Rhinolophus ferrumequinum: one gene and its partners. The protein of the gene in region 2 interacts with the protein of the main gene of each other region in a pairwise test. Links are inferred from orthologs where the notes say so. Each region holds a gene or a part of one and is shown on either strand. Other genes may lie near its edges.

Region 1 (7,842 bases), on a different chromosome or scaffold from region 2:
GCAAGGCAACAGGCAATGCCTTTCCTTTCTTCCCGTAGGTCCTGTCCCTCAGCACCTCAGCGCCTGGCTCAGGCTCTACCACTACCTCTCCCGTTACCACCACGGTCCCCAGCGTGCAGCCCATTGTCAAGCTGGTCTCCACCGCCACAGCTGCACCCCCCAGCACTGCCCCCTCTGGCCCCGGCAGTGTCCAGAAGTACATAGTGGTCTCTCTTCCCCCAACCGGGGAGGGCAAAGGAGGCCCCACCTCCCATCCTTCTCCAGTCCCTCCGCCATCCTCAGCCCCCTCCCCACTTGGGGGCAGTGCCCTCTGTGGGGGGAAACAGGAAGCTGGAGATAGCCCCCCTCCAGCTCCAGGGACTCCAAAGGCCAATGGCTCCCAACCCCCTGGATCTGGCTCCCCTCAGCCTGCACCTTGATGCTGTCAAACATCTGTCAACATTCTCTTCCTCAGATTCTCTCACCGCCTACACACACACACACACACACACACACACACACACTTACTAGGTGGAAGGAAGTAGCAACCTGCTTCCTACCTTAACTTTCTTTTTAGATATTGTACAGCCAGCTTTTCAGAATAAAAGATTGATTTATAAGTTCTGTTCCACCTCAGTCTTTCCTGTGACCAGTACTATGGGAGGGTCTAACCCATTGAGCCCTCATGGTCTCTAGGACTTAGACTCTTCCAATCAGATCCATAGCCATACACCAGAAGGCTGGAATTGACAGTATCATCCTTCTCCCCAGCCACGGACCACCGCCTTTGCTGCCTATGTCCTCATTTGGGGAGCCTCAGATCCGAATGACATAGGCATCACTGTGGCTCAGGTGTCGCACCCACTTGTGGGGATTGGCGTTGCTGCAGGGTCTGAAGGCCAGTCTGAGGAAGCGAACCTGGAGGCCAGAGCACGTGTGCCGGGGAAGTTCAAAGGAGAGGCTTGCCGGGCCTAGCCCCAGAGGAGGGGCTGAGGTGGAGTGCCCTTGACTGGGAGGCCCAGGCAGGCCAGGGACGTCCATCTGTGGGAGGCAGAGGCAGGGGGAGGGATGCTGAAGGCACAGAGAGGGAGAGGAAGGCGGGCAGGGAAGTCAAGGGGCCAGAAAGCTGACCACGCTGGCGGGGACGATGCAGCAACTGCATTAGCAGGGTTGGGTCAGAGGGCTGAAAATGGAAGTGGGACAAGAGGGCTTTAGAGAATCAGCCGCTAATACCTGGAAAAGGCCTGAGAGCTGAGAGCCGCCTTGCACCCGAGGCAGGTCCCAGCGAAGGGCTCCATCCCCCAGCTCTGCCTTCTGTTCTGGGCTGCTCAGCTCCTGAGATAGGCTGGAGTTTAGAGACAAAAGGTGCTGGGCTCAGCCCCTACCTGCCTTGGGGGCAGGCCAGTTCCACCCCATAGTGCACACTTTCCTCCCCAATGCCACCCAGTTGTCCAAGGAAGTTAGTAAAGCCACCCAAGCAAACCCCCACGTTAAACACACACTAACCTGAGCACCCCTCGAGGTAGGGGAAGGTGCATCCTGACGTTGAGAGCCTGGCTGCACAGTGAAAGGAACAGAGTCAGCCCCAGGAAAGTAGTGACTTGTCCCCACACTTCATTAATGTCACAGCTGGAATGCAGTACAAGGGCCACCTCATCCCCTTACCAAACTCTCGAGCCTCAAACTAAACTGGATTCTGAGGCTGGTGGCTGCATCTGAAGGTGGAAGCAATAGGTATCTGGGCCCTGTCTCCTACTCCCCATAGCTGAACTAGTCTTGGCTACTACCCCCACTCGTACCTCTTTGGGGGCAGGTCACATCGCAACTTCAGATAAACCTGGAGCCTAGGTGAGAGTACAAATACTGTTACTTGGGCCATATCCTACTGCCGTCTCACCATCCTCCACCCAAGCCCCCACGTGTGGCTGTGTTGGTTGTGCCCCGGGAAGGAGAGAGAAAGGCTGAAATCTACCCAATTCCACTAGTCACTAGAGTTCATGGGGCTGAGTCCACGGGAGGAGGGTACCTTTTTCTAACTTGTATTCTATACCACTACCACCACCACCCCTCCACAATAAGACTTGGGAATATTGGCTTGAGCTCTACAGAAGTTCTAGAGCAGAGAAAATGGTCTCACCTGCCAGAACCTCGGTCCCACTGCACAGAGGGAAAGAGCCGGAACGGGAGCGGGGAAGGGAGGTCATCTGAGAGTTGGTACCGCATCACAGTCAGCTGAGACCAGGAAGGAACAGAGTCGGGTTAGTCCCCTTACACCTGAGCTGCCTCCCTTCCCGAGTAGATGGAACATCTAAGCCAGTCCATCCTGACCTCGCCCTGAGGTGGCTGCAAGTGGAGGATTCGGTGAGACTCAAACTCATCAAGGTGCACCGAGCTGTGAAACGAAACCTCATCCACCCGAATTCCCGGCCCATAACCTGTAAAGACAGAAAGACTCCTCTCCTGACCCATATACTGGGAGAGAAGAGCAGGGGTGGGGTGGGGTGGGGATCTATCTCTGACTTCTCTCCACCAAACCTCTGGCAGTGACCTATGCCTAGGAGAGAAAGACCCACTGTCTCCTCACCTCTCAGTTCTGACTTGCCCACACAAAACTCTTCTGTCAAGCCAATGCGCATCTCTGTCAGAGGAAAGGACATCAGATCGGAAAAGGCCATCAAATACCACCACACAGATCATCTAGGAGGCTGTCCCAAACCCAACCCTGGGCCCAACCTGCAAACTTCTCACCAGAGCCACTGGGAAGAAAGCTCTTGAGTCGGATCTCTCCCTGCACGTCCACCTTCAGCAGCGAGCCCTGAGAGTGGCCGGAGATTAATGCCCAGAGGCCACCTCCCCAATAGTTTCCCAGATACATCTGACCTCAGCTCCGGGGAACTTACATTAGATGCTATCAGCACAGATAGTCTCTCGACCACATCCAAAAACACTTCATTCTTTTGGCTCTGAGGAAGAGAGGAGATTTGGGTGGGTGGAGGCTGAACCACCTGTGTTCTAAAGTGGACAGGGCAGTGGAGGCTAGGGCCCTGGGGTGGGAACACAAGGTAAGAGAAGGGGTTGGATAATCCACATCTGAGGGAGGTGGAAAGATACACTGGGAAATTAGACTCTGGGGTCCCAGAAAAAAATCAGAGGGTCTGAACCCGTTCATCCCTCTCACCTGGTCAGAGCGGCTGGACAGGACGGGGCGGCTGGCTGCACTGCTCGGGGCCACTTTGCTCTGTTGTGTCTCAGCCCCAAACTGGAAAGCACCCAAAGCAATCAGTCCTCAGGTCTGACACTCGCTGCCAACCCTTCCCCCTCCTGGTCCTCTTTCCTTCACTGACCAAGCCAACACTGCTGAGGTCAAAGAGGCTGAAGGGCTTGCTGACCACAGCCTCGGTCTGGATGAAGTTCCTCAGCATCTCTGTGGATGTGGTCTGTACGTAGCCATAGTCCTAGGGGCAGAGGAAGAACAGTCTTTGCATGGCTAGCGGAGGAAAGCGGTGAAAAGGAGTGAACTTAGCCTCCCAACCGAGGAACAGATCTTCAGGGAACAGGGACAATGAGGAAAATCCTTGGACCTTACCAGCACTTCATCCAGGAGTTCATAGACAAGCGCCACATTTCGGGAGATGGTGCCCTCACCCAGGGAGCCACAGTAGTCGCCCAGGAGAGTGGCTAACCTGAGGGAAAAGAATGGAGTGTGCATCTTCTCCTCCTCCTCTCAGACCCCCAAGCCCAGCTGCCCAGCCCTGCCCTCCTCACCGAGAGAGCAGCTCTAGGAGACTGAAGGGAGAAATGTTTTCTGAAGTCGTGGCCACCAAATACAGGCCGCTGTGTCTGATGTGAATAAAATGACGGTCTTCGTGGTGCTGAGGCAAAGGCGGGGGTGGGGGGGGGGAGCGTCAGGAAAACAAAGCTGTGCTTAAGGACCCATGAGACGTGGGCTGGTATCCTGATTCCCCTACTTCAGAGCAGTGCGACCTAGGGCGAACTAGAAATCTCTCTAGGGCCCCGCTTCCCGAGTAAGTGGAGTTAATAATAGTTCCTACCCAGAGGTGCCGAGGATTAAGACATGGGTGGATCCGTGCCTGCTATATAGTTAGCGCTCAGTAAACTCGTTAACATTATTTGGAGGAATGCATCCACCAACGGGAAGCTCTCAAGGAAGCCCTAGGAGGGAGGGAGGAGGCGCCCCCCTACTCGACCTTGCCTGGAGTACCACTCCCACTCCCGTGTGGTTACCATGACAACCGGGGACTCGTCTCCGGGCAGTCCCGTCAGCTTCCGGTAGAAGAGCTCGGCCACATCCCGGCCGCCACTATCCCCACGGACTGACGGGTTGAAGGACAGCTAAGGAGCTGGCGACACGGACTGGCTCTGGGGCACTACTCCCATCCAGCCCACCCTCCCTCCCCCCACGGACCTGTGGGGTCAAGGATACAGTCCTTGTAGATGAGCGGGTCCCCCTTGGAGGACAGAATGAAGAACTGGGAAATCATTGCCGTTCTGGAGAGTAGACAAGGAGACTTCGAATGTTGGGCCTGCCCCTTCCTGCTACCCGGGAACAAAAGGACGCTCGTGGACTGGCCCTTTAAGAGCGATTCTCCTCCAACGCGGGAAACCCGGTGCCCGCCCAGCCTTGCCCAATCTGTCCCTTCAGACGCCCGCACCACCTCCCCGTCACTCAGCCCAGGCTCGCTCGGTGATTGGCGGAGGCTGGAGCCTGCGGTGAGTGGGAGGGACGGAGGGCCTCTTCTCGGATTGGCCCCCTCGCAACGGCGCCGGTCACGTGTTGGGCGACGTTTCGCGCCAATTTCGGTTGGTCAGCCACAGTCCGCCGCGCGGACGTTCACTGCTGTCGAGGTGATCCTTGAGCCCGCTAACTGCTGCCGTAGGGCTCTCGGCAGCGATGGCACTCAAGGACTACGCGCTCGAGAAAGGTGAGGGTCTGCAAGTCTGGGAGGGGCGTCTGGCGCGGGAAGCGTCCCGACCAACACCTGTTGGTTTGGGCTGGCGTCCTGGGGGGCCGGGCTCAGCGCGAGGCCAGACCCCGAGCCCAAAGCGGTGGAGCTGAGGAAGACATTGCCTGGGAGGCACGTGGAAGACTAAGGTCGGAGAAGACCTGGTGACCGTGCCCGGGAAAGAAGTGGGGCGGGGGAAAGCCGGCCGGCTTGGTGGCTCCAGTGGGGAGGGCCGCGCCCAGGAGAGACCGGGACCTCAGGAGACCCTGTCTAAGGCGCAGTGTTGAGCACTCCCTGGCTCACTTTCATCCGCACTTATAAGCACTTCGAGTGCCCGCGTTCTCCAGAGACGCGCCGAAGCTCCGGGGGCGGGCGGGCCTGGGCCGCTGCGCGCAGGGATTGGCCATTTTAGGCCAACCTCCAAGCGGAAGTGAAGGCGGGCGGAAGTTGCGCGGCGCCTCTGGAGGGAGTGTCGTGTGTAAACAGTGTCCTTCCGCGCGGTGGCCTCGGAGAGAGCTACTGAGGGTTGGGGAGTGCCTGCAATTGGGAGTTTTAGTGGGAGGCCGAGAGAGGAGATAACAGGTGGGACCGAGTGGCCCTGGACGAGCTGGCCAATAGTCGGAGGGGCTCACGCCCTGAGCGGAGGAATCCCGGGCTGTGAGGCGGCGGCATCTGGGCCCATGTGCTTCTTTGTTTACTAAGAGCGGAAGCAGTGGCGGGAGAGGGGGTGGGGTGAAGGATGGGCCTAGTGGCAGAGATTTAGGGGAACGAAAGAAAAGGGGGAATCTTCCATACGCGTGGAAGAAAAGCTGAGAACCTTGAAACCTGAGTGTGTTGCTGGGAGTGGGGGGCCTTTGGGAAAGGGCGCTGAGATTTCTAAGGCAGAGACTGGAATTCCCCTAGGGGAGGGTATTGGGTGGTACTCTAAACTGTCCGGGGCCCCTCATTATTCTCTCGTTAAACACTGACTCGTGAAAAGGAGTTCTGCCCAGTCTGGGGAGGATTATGTAGGGTTATTTAAATGTTCATATGACTAGTTTGTTTAAATGAAATGGTTTAAATGGAAGTGAGTTTCTTGGATTTCTATCAGAGTGGTTTGCAGTAAGGTATCCGAAAGAAAGGAAGGTTGATTCTCATGATTTTATGTTTACCTTATAGAAAAGGTGAAGAAGTTCCTACAAGAGTTTTACCAGGATGATGAATTTGGCAAGAAGCAGTTCAAGTATGGGAACCAGTTGGTAAGTCTACAATTAGGTAGAGGGGATGGGCTGGTTGCTTACAGGAGCTGTAAGAAGTGGCTGGACTCACTTCAGCAAGTCCATTTGTAAGTGACGTGTTTACAGCCATATGGTATGCCAAGTGAATATAATACTACATTTGTGATAAGTAAGGTGTTTTTAGGAGTTGGGAGGCTGTCCTTTGATAGCTGAGAAGTGAGTATTGCTCTGTATCACACCGCTCTTTCTCGCTTTTGGAAGCCTGGAACCTGTATGCTGAACTCATGGTGATAATGTCTTTGCATGTGAACGCTGGTGAGCATGGTAAACTTGGTTCTGGAGTTTTGTTGATTCTTCCCCACCCCAGGTTCAACTGGCTCATCGGGAGCAAGTGGCAATGTACATAGACCTAGATGATGTGGCTGAGGAGGACCCTGAGTTGGTGGACTCAATTTGTGAGAACACCAAGCGCTATGCGAGGCTCTTTGCTGATACCATACAAGAGCTGCTGCCTCAGTACAAGGAGAGGGAGGTGAGTGCAGGAAAATGCAGGGCAAGGAACTTAAGATTTCTGTCAGGAAGCTTCTCACGTTTTCTGAACTGAGGAAGGGGGCAGTAATTTCTACCTGATGTTCTTTATGCCCCATCCTGCCACTCATTTTTCCCGTCTTCTTCTGTATACCTGTAGGTGGTAAATAAGGATGTTTTGGATGTTTACATTGAGCACCGGCTGATGATGGAGCAGCGGAGCCGGGACCCTGCGGCTACCCGAAGTCCCCAGAACCAGTACCCTCCTGAACTCATGCGTAGATTGTGAGTGGTCTCAGTGGGGAAGAGTATGGGAATTTGTCCTCCAGGACCTTGCTAATGACTGTTTTTTCCCTTAGTGAGCTGTACTTTGAAGGCCCAAGCAGTAACAAGCATCGTGTGATCCGGGAAGTACGGGCTGACTCTCTGGGGAAATTGGTGACTGTGCGTGGAATCGTCACTCGTGTGTCTGAAGTCAAACCCCGAATGGTAGTGGCCACTTACACTTGTGACCAGTGTGGGGCAGAGACCTACCAGCCGGTATGTATGGAGCAAGGAACAGGAACACACTTAACTCTGTTAGTATTTTCTGTAAGAGTTTTGTGTGCTGACGCTGATCTGTTATTTTGTCTGTTGTGAAACACATCTGTGTGTATATTTCTCATTCTTTTTCTGGTATGTAGTAGTTTTTCCACGTGTTCTGTGTTCTTGATGCCTATCCCTGTTGACCCAGAATAGTTCAAGATCATTCTTGACAATTTATGGTATCTGCCATCAAGAGGAAATGTGATTCAAGTGACTGACTCTAATTGGTTCATTTGCTTCTCACTTTCTTTGGTGTTTTCTTTCTTACATCCTAGATCCAATCTCCCACTTTCATGCCTCTGATCATGTGCCCAAGCCAGGAGTGCCAGACCAACCGCTCTGGTGGGCGGCTATATCTGCAGACACGTGGTTCCAAATTCATCAAATTCCAGGAGATGAAGATGCAAGAACATGTGAGTTTGGGATATGTTGCCCAGGGAAGGTGGGGCTTGAGAGTCCATTCAAATACTGTACTCACTCACTGAGTGGAAGAAAGAACAAACGAAGAGCTGAGGCAGAGAAGTCACCTAGATCAGGAGGCAGGTTTGACTGAAACTTTCTGATTGAGC
Region 2 (7,222 bases):
GGCTGGCCCTCCCTGCACCAGCCTGCGAAAACGCCTGCAAGCGCCCTGGAACCTCCAGACAGAGAGGAGAGATCACGTGGACTTTTCTCTGAAAAACAAATAAGACAATAAAATAAACAGCTCTTTTATTTATAAAGGCCCCAGGAGCAGTGTTAAGGGCTGCAGGATCCAGTTCTCTGTGCATTCGGTCTGTCAGAAGTTGTCCTCTTGCTTTCCTGGAACTATGAGAATCCCTGCTCACTGGGGCTGCCCTCTGGGAGGGGCTCCAGCTGCTGCCACCGCTGCCTCTTACACTGGGACCCCTGCTGCAATGCAGTCTCTTCCCTTTTTGTTCCCCTGCTCCCCTTGGTCACCACGGAGCGCCAAGCACAAGCTCACTACCCCCCCTTGCAGCATTATTCCCCCGCTCCAGAGGACCTCAAATGCCCTGCCCCAAGCCCTGGAAAAAGGGACTCCCTTGGAGGGATTGTGGTGGCCATACCTGAGAGGAAGCTCAGCCTGGCACCTGTGCTGTCCCCTACATGACAATGTCCAGGCCTGAGCTGCTCCAGTGATCCTGTCCTCAAAGAGGCCACCTTCTCCCTGGGAGGGAAGCTACCAGAATTCCTGGAGGGAGAGAGACTAAGGACAGGTACTTATCCCTTTTCTGCTTGCTAATAGCCTTCTGGGGCTGGAAAGTTTTCTCTGATGTTTGGGGAAAGGGCCAATGTCCCTGTCCAAGCTCTCAGCCTGCTGGAGGTAAGGAAACTGCTGAGGATGGAAGCTCCAGGGCTAGGCCTGAGGGAGCTTTTGATGAGCCTTGGATCTTCCTACTTCCCACCTTTTTGCCAAATACTTTGGGCCCTGGAAGCTGCTAAGGGAGCTTAGCCCAGGCCCAGCCTGCCCCTCCTTGGTGCAAGTTCCCTGCCTGCTTCTGTCCTGCCCTTAGCAACTGTCACCTAACCCCACCCCACATGGTCTCTGCTGATAGCCACAGCCCAGCCCCCAGTCCTACATGCTGGAGATTTCTGGATCCTTCCCTGGGAGGGGGAGGTCTCCTAACCAGATTGGACAGGAGCCTTCATTTCTTGACTTGGGTCATTTGGGAGCTATTTATTTATTCTTAATATTTAATTTTTAACATCCTCTCAGGGACCAGGGGCCTCCTGCTTTTCAGAGGCCCAAGTGCATTTATCCCAAAACAAGGCACCTTCTTGTCATCTCCCCGCCCCCCGCTCCCCCCATTCCCAAGACCCTAAGGTCCCTCACCTTGTTGCTCTGGAACTTCTTGCCAGTAGAATGATAGTAACACTGAAAGGATGGGAAGGTGGAAGTTGTCACCAAAGCCACATACAGACTAGGAGGAGCAAGGGACATCAAAGGCACTTCTTGTTGCTACCTCTTCTCTGTCTGTACTTTCAAATTGCCGGAGGGGATGGCTAGAAGCCAGAAGTCTGGTTTTGTTTTTGGCTTGAAGTAGCCGTATTTGGCATGGAGTTCACTGGAGTGAAAGGGCTGGAAGGTTTTGGAGGCCCCTTCCCTTGCCAGTCCCACAGGAGGGCTGAGTTATTTTTCTGATCTTGTTACTCAATTTTAGTTGTGTAAAAGAACCTCTAAGTGAGTGCAAGTAGATATATGACAAGTCAACCTGTTAGGAAGGAGCCAAAAAGTACTCATTCTGCTACTCCTTTTGAGATAGCTTAAAGCATCATGTTGGTAGCCGGGAGTGGAAGGCTGTTTTGTTTCTAAACTATGCACTATCGGGTATTTTTCAGCATTCATTTAATGCATTAATATGGTCCTACAGGACCCCAGCTATGGGAGCAACAAAATTCTAACCCAGTTAATTTCTTCTATAAGCTCGTTAAGTTCAATACCCCAAGATTGCAAAAATCTGGTATACACTCCAGAAAACAGAGAGGTAGCAAATTTAGGCTCTTTTCTAAATCACTTGTGTAATCTGAGTGCCTTCACAGCTTTGCCCCAAAGTGCTACTTATGTTTCCCAAGGTTTTTTCTATTTAAATTGTGTTTAGTTTCAGGCCCCTTTATGAACATGTAACAGAAACCTCCTTTGTCTAGAGTGATTCTCCTTTTCTAAGCTCATAGGAGACCAGACCAGGTGAATGTAGGTAGAGTACATCAAGATGACACCTCTCTGTATAAATCCCACCAGACACCGTATTTTAGAAGGGTTCATGTTCCAGGATAGACATATCTAGAATGCAGTGTGAGAGTTAAAAATGTTTAGAGGGCAAATGCAATTGTGGCAAGTAACGTGCCAATTAAGTAGGTGCAGCCATAGCAGCTGGCATAGGTATATTTTTTATGGTGCTTTCTCCCGGTGAACATATTAGGCTCATCTTTTGTTTCTTCTTCTATTCAGAGCTCTTTGCTTTAAGAAGTTAAATGACAAAACATCTCCAGCTTTATAATGTCCTCCCCACACCATCTCACATAGCCATCTCCCAGCCTCCATCTGCACTCAGTTAAGGGCATGAAACTAACTTAGTGCCTGTGTTCCAGACCATTTCTGAGGTCTCTTACCCACCCAAGGAGATAGTGCTTCAGCACTGTCCTCCATGCCTTCAGCAGCCCCCCTCACAGATAATGTACCCACCCATCCCTTCTGCCACCCCATCCCCACCCCTGGCACAGAGGTCGTGTGCTGCTTATGTCTAAAGGTATCCCCTATATTTAACTGCCTCAGTGACCTAACCTCTTTCTTCTCATGTGCCAGATGCTAAGATGAAGGAGGAATACAATACATACTCAAGCCCCAGCTGTTTAAATGTTTTTACTGGGGCTCACTTTTCTCGGATGGTATTTATTACCAGACTGGCAAGCCTAACTCCTTAGGTTTACAGGAAGTATACATATTTTTATAAAACAATTGTATGTCCTCCACATATTTTGCTGTGTTAATATTTGCCTCTAACAATTTGCAGCTGTTTCACCTTTTCCTCATTTGTCTCTAAATTGAAGGCCTTGTTGGAGAGAACAGAGCACAGGAACAGCTTTGACAGTCTGTAATTATTGTACAAATATTTTAATAGCATATAAATAAGTATATTCCTTTTATTTTGGAAAAAAATGAACAGACACTGCCTTTTGTGTGTTTGCTGCCTGTGGCACCCTTTTTAAAAAAGACTGTTACATGTTAAAATAGTGTACATATATATATAAATATTACCTCTTTTGCTGTACAGTTGTGATAGACCAGACGGAAGATTTTATTTTTTGTGTGCTTTTTATATAAAAAAATTAATACACTAAAGAAAATCTTGCTGATGTGATTGTAATGTACCTATGTAACTTATTTACTTTTGAATGTTCTTCTGTATCTTTAAACCTTTTATTACATAAGGTTTTAAAAATTCAGAGTTGAATGATGTGTTCTTTTGGGGAGATTTTCACCATCTGGGATTGACGTAAATAGGCCTTGTTTTGCTTGCAGAGGATTACTCGACATATTTGAACCATAAGGATTCTGTTTTATCAGCCCATTGTCAATGATGCCAGGACTGGACATTAACACATTAGCGTTTTCCTGGCTATAGAAATTACTAAATTGACATGGATTTTTTTAACAAAATGTTAGACAAGTCTCAACCCAGTGTCTCACAAAAACACATGTAAATGTCACATTTCCAACATTCATTGGGATGAAATATGGAGGGTACAGATGTGATCAGGTGGCACAGGGAAGCCTCGGGGCTGAACAGGGTGTTTTCATATGTAACATTGACTGTACGAACGACCTGAGTAGACAAGCCTGCTTTGACGGATGCATTTTCAACAGTATCATCTTAAATCCACTCCAGAAGTATATCACTATCTTAAACACGGTGCTCTGAAAAAAAAAAATCTGGAAAATATTAAAAAGGCAATGCGCCATCAGAGAAACCAGTGCCTGCAGCCCCTGGCTGGCACCATGGCAACCGCTCGACCGCACTGGCCGCCTGAGCGCGCGGATCTCGCGTCGTCTGGGCCACCGTTGCCATGGCTACACAGGAGCTAGCTGGGCCGCGGGGGCGGAGCGGGAGGAAGCCACTCGCCCGGCCGGCCCCGCCTTCCACTGCCGCAGTATCTCCTCGGCTGGCTGCGGGTCCGACTTGGGGGCAGCAGCGGCGCGCAAGCCCGCCACAGCCTGCGCCTCCGTGCCTGTGTCCTCGGTCCTCGGCTGTCCTCGCCGCCCAGAGGGACCCCTGCACCCGCGAAGAAGCCGCTCGCGAACTGGCCCTGCCGCCGCTGCTGCGACCACAGGACAGTCTCCCTCCAGGAGCGGCAGAACCCTCGTCTGCAAAGCAGCCGCCCCTGAGCCGACTGAAGGCCCGGCTCTGATCGCGAACGCCGGCGCGATCAACTCCTGCAGCAGCGACTGCCCGGCGCGCCCGGGCGGCTTAGAGGAGGCGGCCACACCCCCGCGACCACACCCCGGCGGCCTCTCCAGCCCGACAGCTTCAGCCTCCGCCGCCCGCCCTGGCTCCAGGCCTTCTCTTGCAACGCGACACCATATGTGCAGGTGGAGGACCGGGGCCGCGGACCCCGACCTGAGACGCAAGATGGCCGCGGCCGCGTGACTGAGCATTCCAGAGGCTTTGCTGCGAGAACGCGCCGACCACCGACTTTAGGGGGCAGCGAAAGGACGAGAGCGGGACTCTGGTGTCATTTGCTAATTGTGATTGCATGAAGCATATTGGGTGAAAGGGGAGTGTCTGCTGTTGTCCTAAGCCCTAGAGCACAGGGAGCCACAGTCTAAACCGTATTTGTAGGATTGGGCTCTTGATAGTTGGGAAAATGGCGATGACGCTGTTGGAAGACTGGTGCAGGGGGATGGATGTGAACTCCCAGAGAGCCCTGCTGGTGTGGGGGATCCCAGTGAACTGTGATGAGGCTGAAATCGAAGAGACCCTCCAGGCTGCGATGCCCCAGGTGCCCTATCGAGTGCTTGGGAGAATGTTCTGGAGGGAAGAGAATGCGAAAGCAGCCTTGTTAGAGCTCACGGGCGCTGTCGATTACGCGGCCATCCCCAGGGAGATGCCAGGTAAAGGAGGGGTCTGGAAAGTGGTCTTTAAGCCCCCGACTTCCGATGCCGAATTTTTAGAAAGGTTGCACCTCTTTCTAGCGAGAGAGGGGTGGACCGTGCAAGATGTTGCCCGTGTCCTTGGGTTTCAGAATCCTGCTCCGGCCCCAGGCCCAGATATGCCAGCAGAGATGCTAAACTATATTTTGGATAATGTTATTCAGCCTCTTGTTGAGTCCATATGGTACAAGAAGCTGACGCTGTTCTCGGGGAGGGACATCCCGGGGCCTGGGGAGGAGACCTTTGATCCCTGGCTGGAGCACACCAATGAGGTCATAGAGGAGTGGCAGGTGTCTGATGTGGAAAAGAGACGGCGGTTGATGGAGAGTCTTAGGGGCCCTGCCGCTGATGTCATCCGCATCCTCAAGACTAACAACCCTGCGATAACCACCGCCGAATGCCTGAAGGCGCTTGAGCAGGTTTTTGGAAGCGTGGAGAGCTCTAGGGATGCGCAGGTCAGATTTCTGAATACTTACCAGAACCCAGGAGAAAAGTTATCGGCTTACGTCATTCGTCTGGAGCCTCTGCTGCAGAAGGTGGTGGAGAAAGGGGCCATAGATAAAGATAACGTAAACCAGGCCCGCCTGGAGCAGGTCATTGCCGGGGCCAACCACAGCGGGGCCATCCGAAGGCAGCTGTGGCTGACTGGGGCTGCGGAAGGGCCAGCTCCGAACCTCTTCCAGTTGCTGGTGCAGATCCGCGAGGAGGAGGCCAAGGAGGAGGAGGAGGAGGCTGAGGCCGCCCTCCTGCAGTTAGGCCTAGAGGGGCACTTCTGAGCCCCAGGAAACCGAGCTGTAGTGCAGACCTAGATCACAGCGCTTTTGTCTTGTCTGTGCTCTCTTTTACGCGTGTCTTAGTCAAGTCCTGTTTTCTGGGGGGAAGTCGGGTCTGGGTATTCATGCTAACATTAGTAAACTCATGCAAGCGAGCACCTTGAGCGGCCGCAAGTGAGTCCTAGCTAAATGCCCGGTAAAATGCCGGACCCGAGAGCTCAGTGCAAGCTGTCATCGTGGCATCATCAATTGTGAAAAACATGTGAACTTGTGACACTTCTTATCGAGGTACTTAAATTGCATGTTCAGATGTTTAGCCCAGAGCCTGGCTAACACAAGAAGTGTTCAGTGAAAATACGAACTATTGTTACTAATATCGTGAATGGTTTTTGTGTTTACTGTAAATTGTTCCTGATTTATATTAATGGGAAAAATGTGAATTAATTAGATGTTATCATTCCACTTTACAGTGCTAATTATTTTTCATCTTTAAACATCTGGAACAGTATAATTGAAAAGTATTCTGAGACTACAAAATGGGGTGTTAGAAAAATACTGCAGTTACAGAGCTGTGTAAATTAGAAGTTTTCACTGTACAAGATACAGATATAAATCGCATGGGGAGGTTAATATGAACCGGCTAGAGTATCCATTTCAAATCTTTGTCATTGAATAGTTCTTATTCATGCTGATTGTGTTCTAAATTTGAAGTTATCAAATACATGTATACGAATAAAAATATTTAAAAAATTGTATTGTCTGGTTTTTCTGACTTACAAAAATTTCAGTTCAATTAAAGTCTGAATTCTTTTCAGACTTCACCATGTCACTAAAAAAAAAATCGAACCTCAGTTATTTTATCTTTAAGCTTTATATAATAAATACTATGTAAATTTAAACTGCAGTACCTTTTAATGTATTCTATTTTTGCTTGTTTTCTACAAGGCAAATGTTCGGAGGCTCAGTAGATATAAATAAATATTAGCCTATAAAATGTTAGGAAATCCTACAACGGCATTTAGGAGGTTATGTATCAATGCTCTTTCTCCCCTTTTAAGTCCATTTTCAGTTAAAAATGTTTTGCTGCAGGAATTATATGATAACTTCATACCTGTGTAAAATGAATGTCTCAGTTTTACAGCAGCCATTTTATATTGAGGATATAAAAAGGAAAATAAGGCTTAAAAATATGCTTATTTGGCTGCAGAGATTCAGTGACTAAAGATGTCCATCTTTTGAGATCCTACTAAATCCAGAAGTGATTACATGAACGTAGCATTCAGGGGGGTTTTCTCCTAGTAACATGGCTTTAAAATTATGGCTAACCTATTGTAACGATCATAAGGTAAAATTTTTATTTATAAAGGCTAATTAATATTGGTATA
Region 3 (7,875 bases), on a different chromosome or scaffold from region 2:
GCCCCATCCCTCACCATTCTTCATTAGGGCAGGACAGGTTCCCTGGGTGGAGGAAGGAGGGAAGGTCGGGGGCTCCATCTGCCCCCTTCCTGTGTCCTCTCCTCCCTGCCCTGTGTCCTGGCTTCAGCACTTCATGCTTAAGAGGCTGCAACTGGGGTCACAGCCAGGGTCGCCCATCTCTTGCCCTCAAATCTAACCCTCTCTAACAACCAGGTTCTGGGCTGGGGGCGTCTGAGATCACCCAGCACACCAGCTGAACAGGCTCTGCACTAGAGAAGGACATTTTGTGTCCTTATCAGTAACTGTAGGTTCGCGTGAGTGTCAGTAATAAAGAGCCAGCCCTGCACACTCAGTCCTGCTTCTTCAGTGATAACATTTGCACGGTCACCATCCATAGTCAGCCAGGATGCTGATCTGGGTACGGCCACGTGGGGGTCATATTCAGGGCCCCACTGTCCCCACCACACACACTGATTGTGTGCGTGTTTGCTGCACAGTGTTTCTCCATGCGAGGGCACGTGCCCGCTGTTACCAGGCCCTCCTCCTTCCTGCCTCATGTCCCAGCTGCCACCTGCTGTGCCTCCATCTCTGTGCCTTTGTGTTTGCACAACGCATACAAATGGGTGAGCTGTGTGTGGCCTGTTGGGCAGGGCTTTCACACAGTGTGACCCACCCGTGGACTTGGCCTATGAGTAAGCATGTCTCCGTGGGCACCTTTGACCCCCAAGCAGAGCTCCGGACGGGCCGAGTGGCTCGCCTGGACCCTCTCTGTTGAGCTTTGCTGATTGTGCTGCGGGTTCTGAGTGGAGTCAGCTTCGGTTCTGGGAGCACATGGCCACCTTGGTCTCGGGTGCTGGCGTGAGCTCCTGCACCACCGGTGTCCTCTCCTGCTGTCTGGTGAGCCCAGCTGCCCACCTGCTTCCTGCTGGACCGAGGAGGAAGAGAAACGAGCAAAGGGGGCCCCGGGGCTGTTTACACCCCACTTCCTGAGACCCAGCTGGTCCTGGGGGCTGTGAAAGCTCCCTGTATGGGCCCCATCTGGTTGGGGAGAAGAGCTCTAGAGTTTCCAAGGTGACCGCCCCAGGTGACGCGCACGCAGCGGGCGGTGGAACATGCGCCAGCACAGATGGAAAGTGGGGGAGAGGGGATCCCCCGCGCGCTCCTGAGGCAGTTTCCATCAGTGGGGAGAAACCCAGGAAGCAGCAGGATCATCCCGAAACCTTTCTGAGGAGGCCGGTGGTGATGTCAGTGACCCACCACCGTCTGTGGGGCACAGCTACTTCTGAGGTTGGAACAGGAAATGGTTAATAGTGTTTGCAAATAAAAACTTTCTGTTCTGTCCTGTTTTTAAAGCATTTCCCAGAAGTTAAAGAAGGGTGCCTAATTTAGCTGCCCAATTCAAGAGCCAAATTAAACAAATTGAATGGAGTATTTTCACCATTTACTATACACAAGAATAAAGTTAGCTGAATTTTTTGTTTGTTGAGGTGGCGGGCAGGGGGTCACAGGAAACTCTTACCCTTTTATTTTCCAAACTTTCTAGAATGCTGTTAGTGGTTTAAATGTGAATTTATAGTTTAAATTTCCAAATGTGTGTGTTTGTGTGTAATGTGTATATATGTTGCATGTGTGTAGGCATGTATGTTCCTATATGTGCATTCATGTGTAAACATGTGTATGTGTGTACCAAAACCCTGGACTTTAGGTATAGTCCCAGAATATCAGTTAGCTTTGTTATGATTGGCTGGGTGATACTCCCAAAACCCTAGAAAACAGTGCCTTAAGAAACAGTGGCAGCCAGAAGTTTATTTCTGTCTTGAATAAGAAATCTGGAAGTAACCTGCCTGGAAGTAGGAGGGCAATGCCAGCTGTTCTCAGGAATCCAGGTCTTACCTTTCTGCTCCCTCAGCAAGGTGACCCCATGGTCTGAGATGGCTGCTGGAGGGCTGGCCATCATCTCTGCACTGTGGACCAGAAGAAGGTGAAAGTGGAGTAGAAGGAGTCGGATGATGCCCAGCTATCTGGTCTCATCCTGGAACTTTCTTGGAGGCACATACCTTGTATCTTACTGTCACACTTAGCTGCCAGGCAAAGATGCCACATGGTTGAAAGAACCAAAAAGAAGTGTCAGGGGGCTGGCCCGGTGGCTCAGGAGGTTGGAGCTCTGAGCTCCTAACGCTGAAGGCTGCCGGTTCGATTCCCACATGGGTCAGTGGGCTCTCAACCACAAGGTTGCCAGTTCAATTCCTCAACTCCTGCAAAGGATGGTGGACTCCACCCCCTGCAACTAAGACTGTACACAGCACTTTGAGCTGAGCTGCCGCTGAGCTCCCGGATGGCTCAGTTGTTTGGAGTGTGTCCTCTCAACCACAAGGTTGCCGGTTCCACTCCCGCAAGGGATGGTGGGCTGTGTCCCCCGCCGCAACTATCAATGGCAACTGGATCTGGAGCTGAACTGCGCCCTCCACTATGACTGAAAGACAACAACTTGACTTGGAAAAAATCGGTGGAAGTACACTGGGGGGGCAGAGGCCCAGAGAGCAGTTTCCAGGCTCTCGGCCTCTCGTGGAAAGGTGCTGACTCGGGTAGTAGATGGCCGTCAGCTGTAACCATTGAGCCACTGGCCACTAATATAACTGCCGCAGCTACGTTGGGGAGTGGAGTCGAGGGGAGTCGAGGACAGTTGGTCGGTTGGCAGAAAAGCGGACAGCAGGTTGCACGTCGTGTGAAACCAGCCTCCAGTGAGACTATAGTGGTGTGACTCCCCTACCTATGGCTCCGTGGGTGTTCCTTTTTGGCCTCAGCATATCCTGCGTTCTTATGTGGGGAGTGGGACCCGAGACCCCGCAGGCCGCCCCGCGTGACAGCAGGTTGAAAGATGGGTTAGAGTGTGCAGCTTAGAGAGACGGGTTACAGTTCGCATGTTAGAGAGACAGAGTCATGGCAACGTGGACAGCATGGTGGGAAGGGCAGGCGCATGCGCGTCTGGATTCCACGAGGAGGAGCGCGTAGGCGAGGGCAGAGCACCGCTTCCATCCTTCTGAAGGTCTTGATTTACTTCAGGTTAGGGTTATCCTAAATTTGTGTGTTGGAATTTCTATGGCCGCCAGCAAAATAATAGAAACAGAGAGTGGCACCCAAGTTTGTGGCAGGATGAGAATGGAACGATAAAATAGTCACTCCACGACAAGGTGGCACGAGAGGGAAGAGCCCCTGGGATGTCAGCCCGAGCAGGTGGCGGGCTCAGACTGGTGAGTTGAAGAGCTGAATGAAGGGCGACTAACTTAGGATTCTGCAGCCTGCAGAAAAGGCACGGAGGGGCCTGGTTCTCAGCCTGTCACCTGTCAGAAGGGGTGGAGGCTGTGGTTCTAGAACCTGGAAACCGTTGGCCAGCAGGCGTGGTGGCTCTCAGCTAGGGACACAGCACACACTCTGTCCCTGTGGACGAGAAGCGTGGCTGGCTGCAGTGAGCGCTTCCATGTGCCCTGGGGGAGCACATGGCACACAGATGTGGCAAGGGCCCATATCGGGGGAGGGGTACTCCCCTGGTTCACTCTGGCTGTCCCCCAGGACAGTCTGCCGAATCGCCGGGGGAGAGTGTGCTCTCCACCACGTCTGGGCCATTGTGGACGATGCTCGGGGACAAGGCCTTGCGGGGTGTGGGGAACGGCAGGTACCTGTCAGCCTCACTGGGCAACACCAACGCTGAGCGGGGGTTTTATGGTTTTGGTCCCATTTGACTGCCTGTCAACAGTCACGTGGAAAAGCCTGCTCACTCAGTATGGCGGCTTGAATAGGTGTGACAGTCATGCCTCTGTGTGGCCCTTGTCCTGAGGGTGCCTCCTCAACCACAGGCACCCAAAGGTGGACTTCCTTTGTGCTTCATTTGCATCTTCCTTCCCTTGGGGTCCAGGGGTCAGGCTCCTCCCCACTCTGCTTGAACATTGGCCATTCTTTCCTCAATTCACTTGTTCTCATTGCACCTGACAAACTGCAGCTATGCATGCTCTTGAAACTCACACACAAAACCCCAAAAAGACGGGAGAAGCCAGACACATGTGCACAGAAAACATTGTCCGGACTCCCTTGCAGCTGCTGGGGCGCACACTGGGCGGGTGGTGGTTTTCCAGCCCAGGGGGCTGGCGGTGCCTTGGTGGGAAAGAACACACAGAGAGCTTTTGGAGGCTGGCTTCTTTCAGGTGCTGACCTCAGACTTTATAGAAGTTCATGAAGCTGTGTGTGTATGTTTTAGGCATTTTTACGTAAATGATGTACATTTATAGCCAATAAAAAGTTTGAAAATTTGCAATGACACGTAAAGTTAAAGTTCTTCACAGCCTTGTTTGTGACGGTAGAGAACCATCACTGAGCAGCTTGGGAACAGGCAGGACAGACAAGGTGGAGCCACCGGCCTTAAGACACCAGATGCTGAAGGGGAGAGCGTGGGGCATTGTCTGGGGCACGGTGTGGAGGGAAACACCAGGCTTCAGGTGACATGTTCAGCATGGTTTCCTGTTTGTGACAAGAGCGCTGGACTATCTGCATGTGCACGTGCAGCTCCAGACGGTCTCTGGGTGGCCGGCTGCCCCGCAATGTCATCGCCTTGCATTGTTTTTCCTCGTCATTTATCTGTTTGCTTCTCATTTGTCCTAAAGAAAATGGATTGCTTGCGTAATGAAAAATATTAAAAAAGGATAAGAAAAAGAGGCCTGTTTCTCCTTTCTCTGAGACAAACCGGTTGCCATGGAGACTGACCGGTTGTCAAGGCAGCGGTCGGTCGGCGGGTGGGGCTGCAGAGGCATCCACCAGCCAGAGCCGGCAAGCCTCAGTCCGCACTGCGGCCCAGCGCCAGCATGGACGGGGTGCACGTGTGGGCCCGCACACTGGCCCAGCTGATGGCCAAGAGTAAGCCGCAGGACACCTGGGAGCTGGTCCCTGACGAGAACTTGGCCTTTGGGCATGTGGACGGCGGAGGTTTCCAGTACCGGCTGAGGGGGCTTTCAAGGTGCGGTGGAGGGTGGGGCCTCTTGCTGGGTCCTGGGGGTGGGGAGGGGCTGAAGGCTGCTTGACCACTGGCCCTAGGCTGGGCCTGAGTCCCAAGGCCAGGCTGGGTGCATCCCGGCACTTGGGCATGTGGAGAGGGGCATGTGTCCGGCCTGCTCTTGTCCCCCAACAGGTGGGTGGCTGGGTGCTTGTGATCCCTTTCAGTGACAGGCAGAGACCCTGCCTGGCAGTGCTAGACCCCTGGAGCCCAGGTGGGGCCTTGCCAGTTGGGGGCTGCTGGGGTGACATGGTCACCCACTCAGGAGGGCTCCATCGGTTTACTGCGCATCTCCTGGTCTCCATGGCAGCGCCACCACCCAGCCCTACACTGCAGCTGGGCCTGAGGGACCGGAAGCGGAGAGGTGCACTGAGGGGCACGGCCCTAGAAAAGGGGGCGCTGTGCCCCGCCTGGTCACGGCAGAGTGGGAGGCCATTTGGGAGCCCTGGTGGCCTCGCGTCACTGTGTGAGCCTCCGTCTTCATCATCATCGTCATCAGTGTCATGATGACAGCTGTCAGTCCAGTGGGATGGCCCAGAGCTGCAGAGCCCCACCTAGCCAGGCACCCCAGTCCTCAAGGAGAGCTGGGAGGTGGCGCAGTGGGGGAGCGGGCCTGATTGCCGTGGAATGCTGGCTTTCTCAGGTCTGAGAAGCACTTTAAACACCTGGCTGTTCCCACAGCCAAAGTGAAGAACTGCTCTAAATGGCAGGTGAGGACGGGGAACACTGCCAAGCAGGTTTTCAGTTTTCAATGGAAACACCAGCTGGTGGGATGGTCACAAACAGAAACCTACATTCTCCTCCTCAGCCCTCCGGCACGTGTGGCTTGTGACGTGCTCATTAATGAAATCGCAACACCGTTGGTTGTTCGGTCCTCAGGGCACTCTCCACGTACAGGCAGTCTCCCCGGCCACTTGTGGCTGCAGGCTGGCGCAGAGGCAGAGCCATGCCACAGTCACGGAAAGTTCTAAGGACAGACCCGCAGGGCTTCCTGGGAACATTTGGAGCCTTCCCACGCATGTGGGTTCCCATGCCTGCATGCATGTGCCACACAGGGGTGACTCGTCTGTGACCTGAGGGTCTTGGAGAGAGGCCCCAACTGCCCAGCCCTGGGACACGCAGCCTCAGATGGCTTGGGGCACCAGCACCTTCACCATGTATTCGCTGACCCAAGCAGCTGGCCCTCTTCCATGCAGGGGTGGAGTGCGGCTCCCCTGTTCACACGGTCAAAGCCAGAGGGCCCAGGACACACGCCATCCTCCAGGAACCCCCGCCCCTCCTCTGTCTCCATGCTTGTCTGTCTGCTGCATTGTTCCCATCACCCAACCCCCTCCTCCGTCCTCATCACCCAGGCCCCTGCCCCCTGGTTTTACTTCCCTTCCTGTCACCTTCCCTCCCTGGGGTGGGCTGCCCCCTCCGAGGCCCCACAGCCCTTTCCTCAGCCCTGCCTGTCTGTCCACCACAGATGCCTTCTTTTCGTCCTCTCACCGGTATCCACAGGCCTGTCTTTGTTTTTTGCTGACATTTCCTCAAGACACTGAAGCTCCAAGTCATAATATGACAGAAATGCAGTAGCTCGCAGCCCCAAGTAAGTGCAGAGCGAGCCCTCACGTGTGTCAAGCCAGGCTTGGCCACCCAGTGCACTTTGGTGCCAAACAGGCATTTGCGTCTCAGATTATGGGGTGCAGGCAAAGGCCCCACTCTGCCCCCGAGTGGCGTGGGGCACCAGGGAGCACGGCCGCCCCGTCCCCTCCTCTCACTGCTGCCTCTGTTCTTCCCAGGCTCCAGTGCGGCCGCTGCCAGTGGGGCTGGTCCTCGGCCCACGTGCACATCCTCTTCCATGTGTGGTGGGACGAAGACAACCACTTGGGGCTGGTGAAGATGCGTGTGTGGGGCCAGGGCTGTCAGGTGTGCCCGCGGGACGCCCGGGGACACTGCCAGGTGAGCCTCCTGAACGTGCGGCTCTTCCTGCACAAGCTGGTCCTGTTTGTCCTGCACAATTGCTACCGTGAGGGCCTCAGCTCTGACCAGTGCCCCGAGATCTGCTTCGGGGACCAGTGTGAGGCCTGTGAGCTGGGGGTCTGCTTCTTCCAGAAGCCCCCAGACCCTGCTTGGGGCCCTGAAGTTAGGAGCTGCAGCCCTAGCCAGGACTCTGTGTGCGGCAGTGGCCCTGTGGTCCTCCGTGCCCGGGGCCGCACCCCCAGCTGCAGCACCGTGCCCCCTGCCATGCCCGACGTCATCAGAAGCCCCCTCTCTGAGAGCAACCAGTTCTTCAGCGAGGACATCGACATTGTCACCGTCCCCTTCTCCCTCGTGCGCACACGCAGTGACAGGGGACTTCTAGGCCCTGGGCAGGGTGCCCGGGGACCGCTTATCATTGACAGAGGTTCCATCTACCTGCCTGCCAGCGTCACAGCCACGTCCAAGGGCAGGGGCGTCCTGGTGAACATCAAGGCCCCCGTCCTCCACGGCAAGGGCCGCCTGCTCAGCAGCACCAAGCCCTTCCAGGTCACAGGCTTCATCTACAAAGGCCACGGCTCTGTGTCCTGCCCGGCTGGCACGCACAGGAAGGGTCCGGGCACGGTCTCCGGCAGCAGCGGCCGACCAGCTGGAGAGGACTTCCTGCCTGTGTCCTATATCATTGGCCTCACAGAAGATGGTGATGGCTCCCTCACTTTCCCCTCGTCCTTAGCCCACGTCATCCCAGGCCAGGGCCACCCCTCTGACGTCAACGGCTCCCTCACCTTCCCCTTCATCTTCACTGATGGGCACTGGGGACAGGGTGGCAGTGGCCTCATCCGGGTGGGACCAGAGCCCAGCCCCAGCTCCAAGTG

The links.
Region 1: the proteins of PNMA1 (region 2) and MCM7 interact in binary tests that used the Homo sapiens proteins (3 or more experiments, as listed by UniProt). The two-hybrid records come from large-scale screens. The link is inferred for Rhinolophus ferrumequinum from reciprocal best matches to the Homo sapiens genes PNMA1 and MCM7.
Region 3: the proteins of PNMA1 (region 2) and RTP5 interact in binary tests that used the Homo sapiens proteins (3 or more experiments, as listed by UniProt). The two-hybrid records come from large-scale screens. The link is inferred for Rhinolophus ferrumequinum from reciprocal best matches to the Homo sapiens genes PNMA1 and RTP5.

The regions. Positions count from the first base shown.
Region 1 is NC_046290.1:90,388,753-90,396,594, reverse strand, and holds the start of MCM7 (DNA replication licensing factor MCM7), read left to right. Parts: upstream 1-4,764; 5' UTR 4,765-4,891; coding exon 4,892-4,922; intron 4,923-5,391; exon of another isoform or gene 5,392-5,525; intron 5,526-5,708; exon of another isoform or gene 5,709-5,772; intron 5,773-6,101; coding exon 6,102-6,181; intron 6,182-6,527; coding exon 6,528-6,692; intron 6,693-6,848; coding exon 6,849-6,973; intron 6,974-7,047; coding exon 7,048-7,228; intron 7,229-7,548; coding exon 7,549-7,686; intron 7,687-7,842. Other genes in the region: TAF6 (transcription initiation factor TFIID subunit 6), read left to right, coding at 39-419; AP4M1 (AP-4 complex subunit mu-1), read right to left, coding at 796-1,020, 1,213-1,324, 1,486-1,536, 1,779-1,823, 2,117-2,211, 2,308-2,414, 2,564-2,617, 2,728-2,794 and 7 more. UniProt on the Homo sapiens protein: Acts as a component of the MCM2-7 complex (MCM complex) which is the replicative helicase essential for 'once per cell cycle' DNA replication initiation and elongation in eukaryotic cells.
Region 2 is NC_046289.1:24,573,083-24,580,304, forward strand, and holds PNMA1 (paraneoplastic antigen Ma1), read left to right. Parts: upstream 1-4,694; 5' UTR 4,695-4,778; coding exon 4,779-5,840; 3' UTR 5,841-6,590; downstream 6,591-7,222.
Region 3 is NC_046291.1:29,952-37,826, reverse strand, and holds the start of RTP5 (receptor-transporting protein 5), read left to right. Parts: upstream 1-4,797; 5' UTR 4,798-4,853; coding exon 4,854-5,005; intron 5,006-6,506; exon of another isoform or gene 6,507-6,629; intron 6,630-6,822; coding exon 6,823-7,875.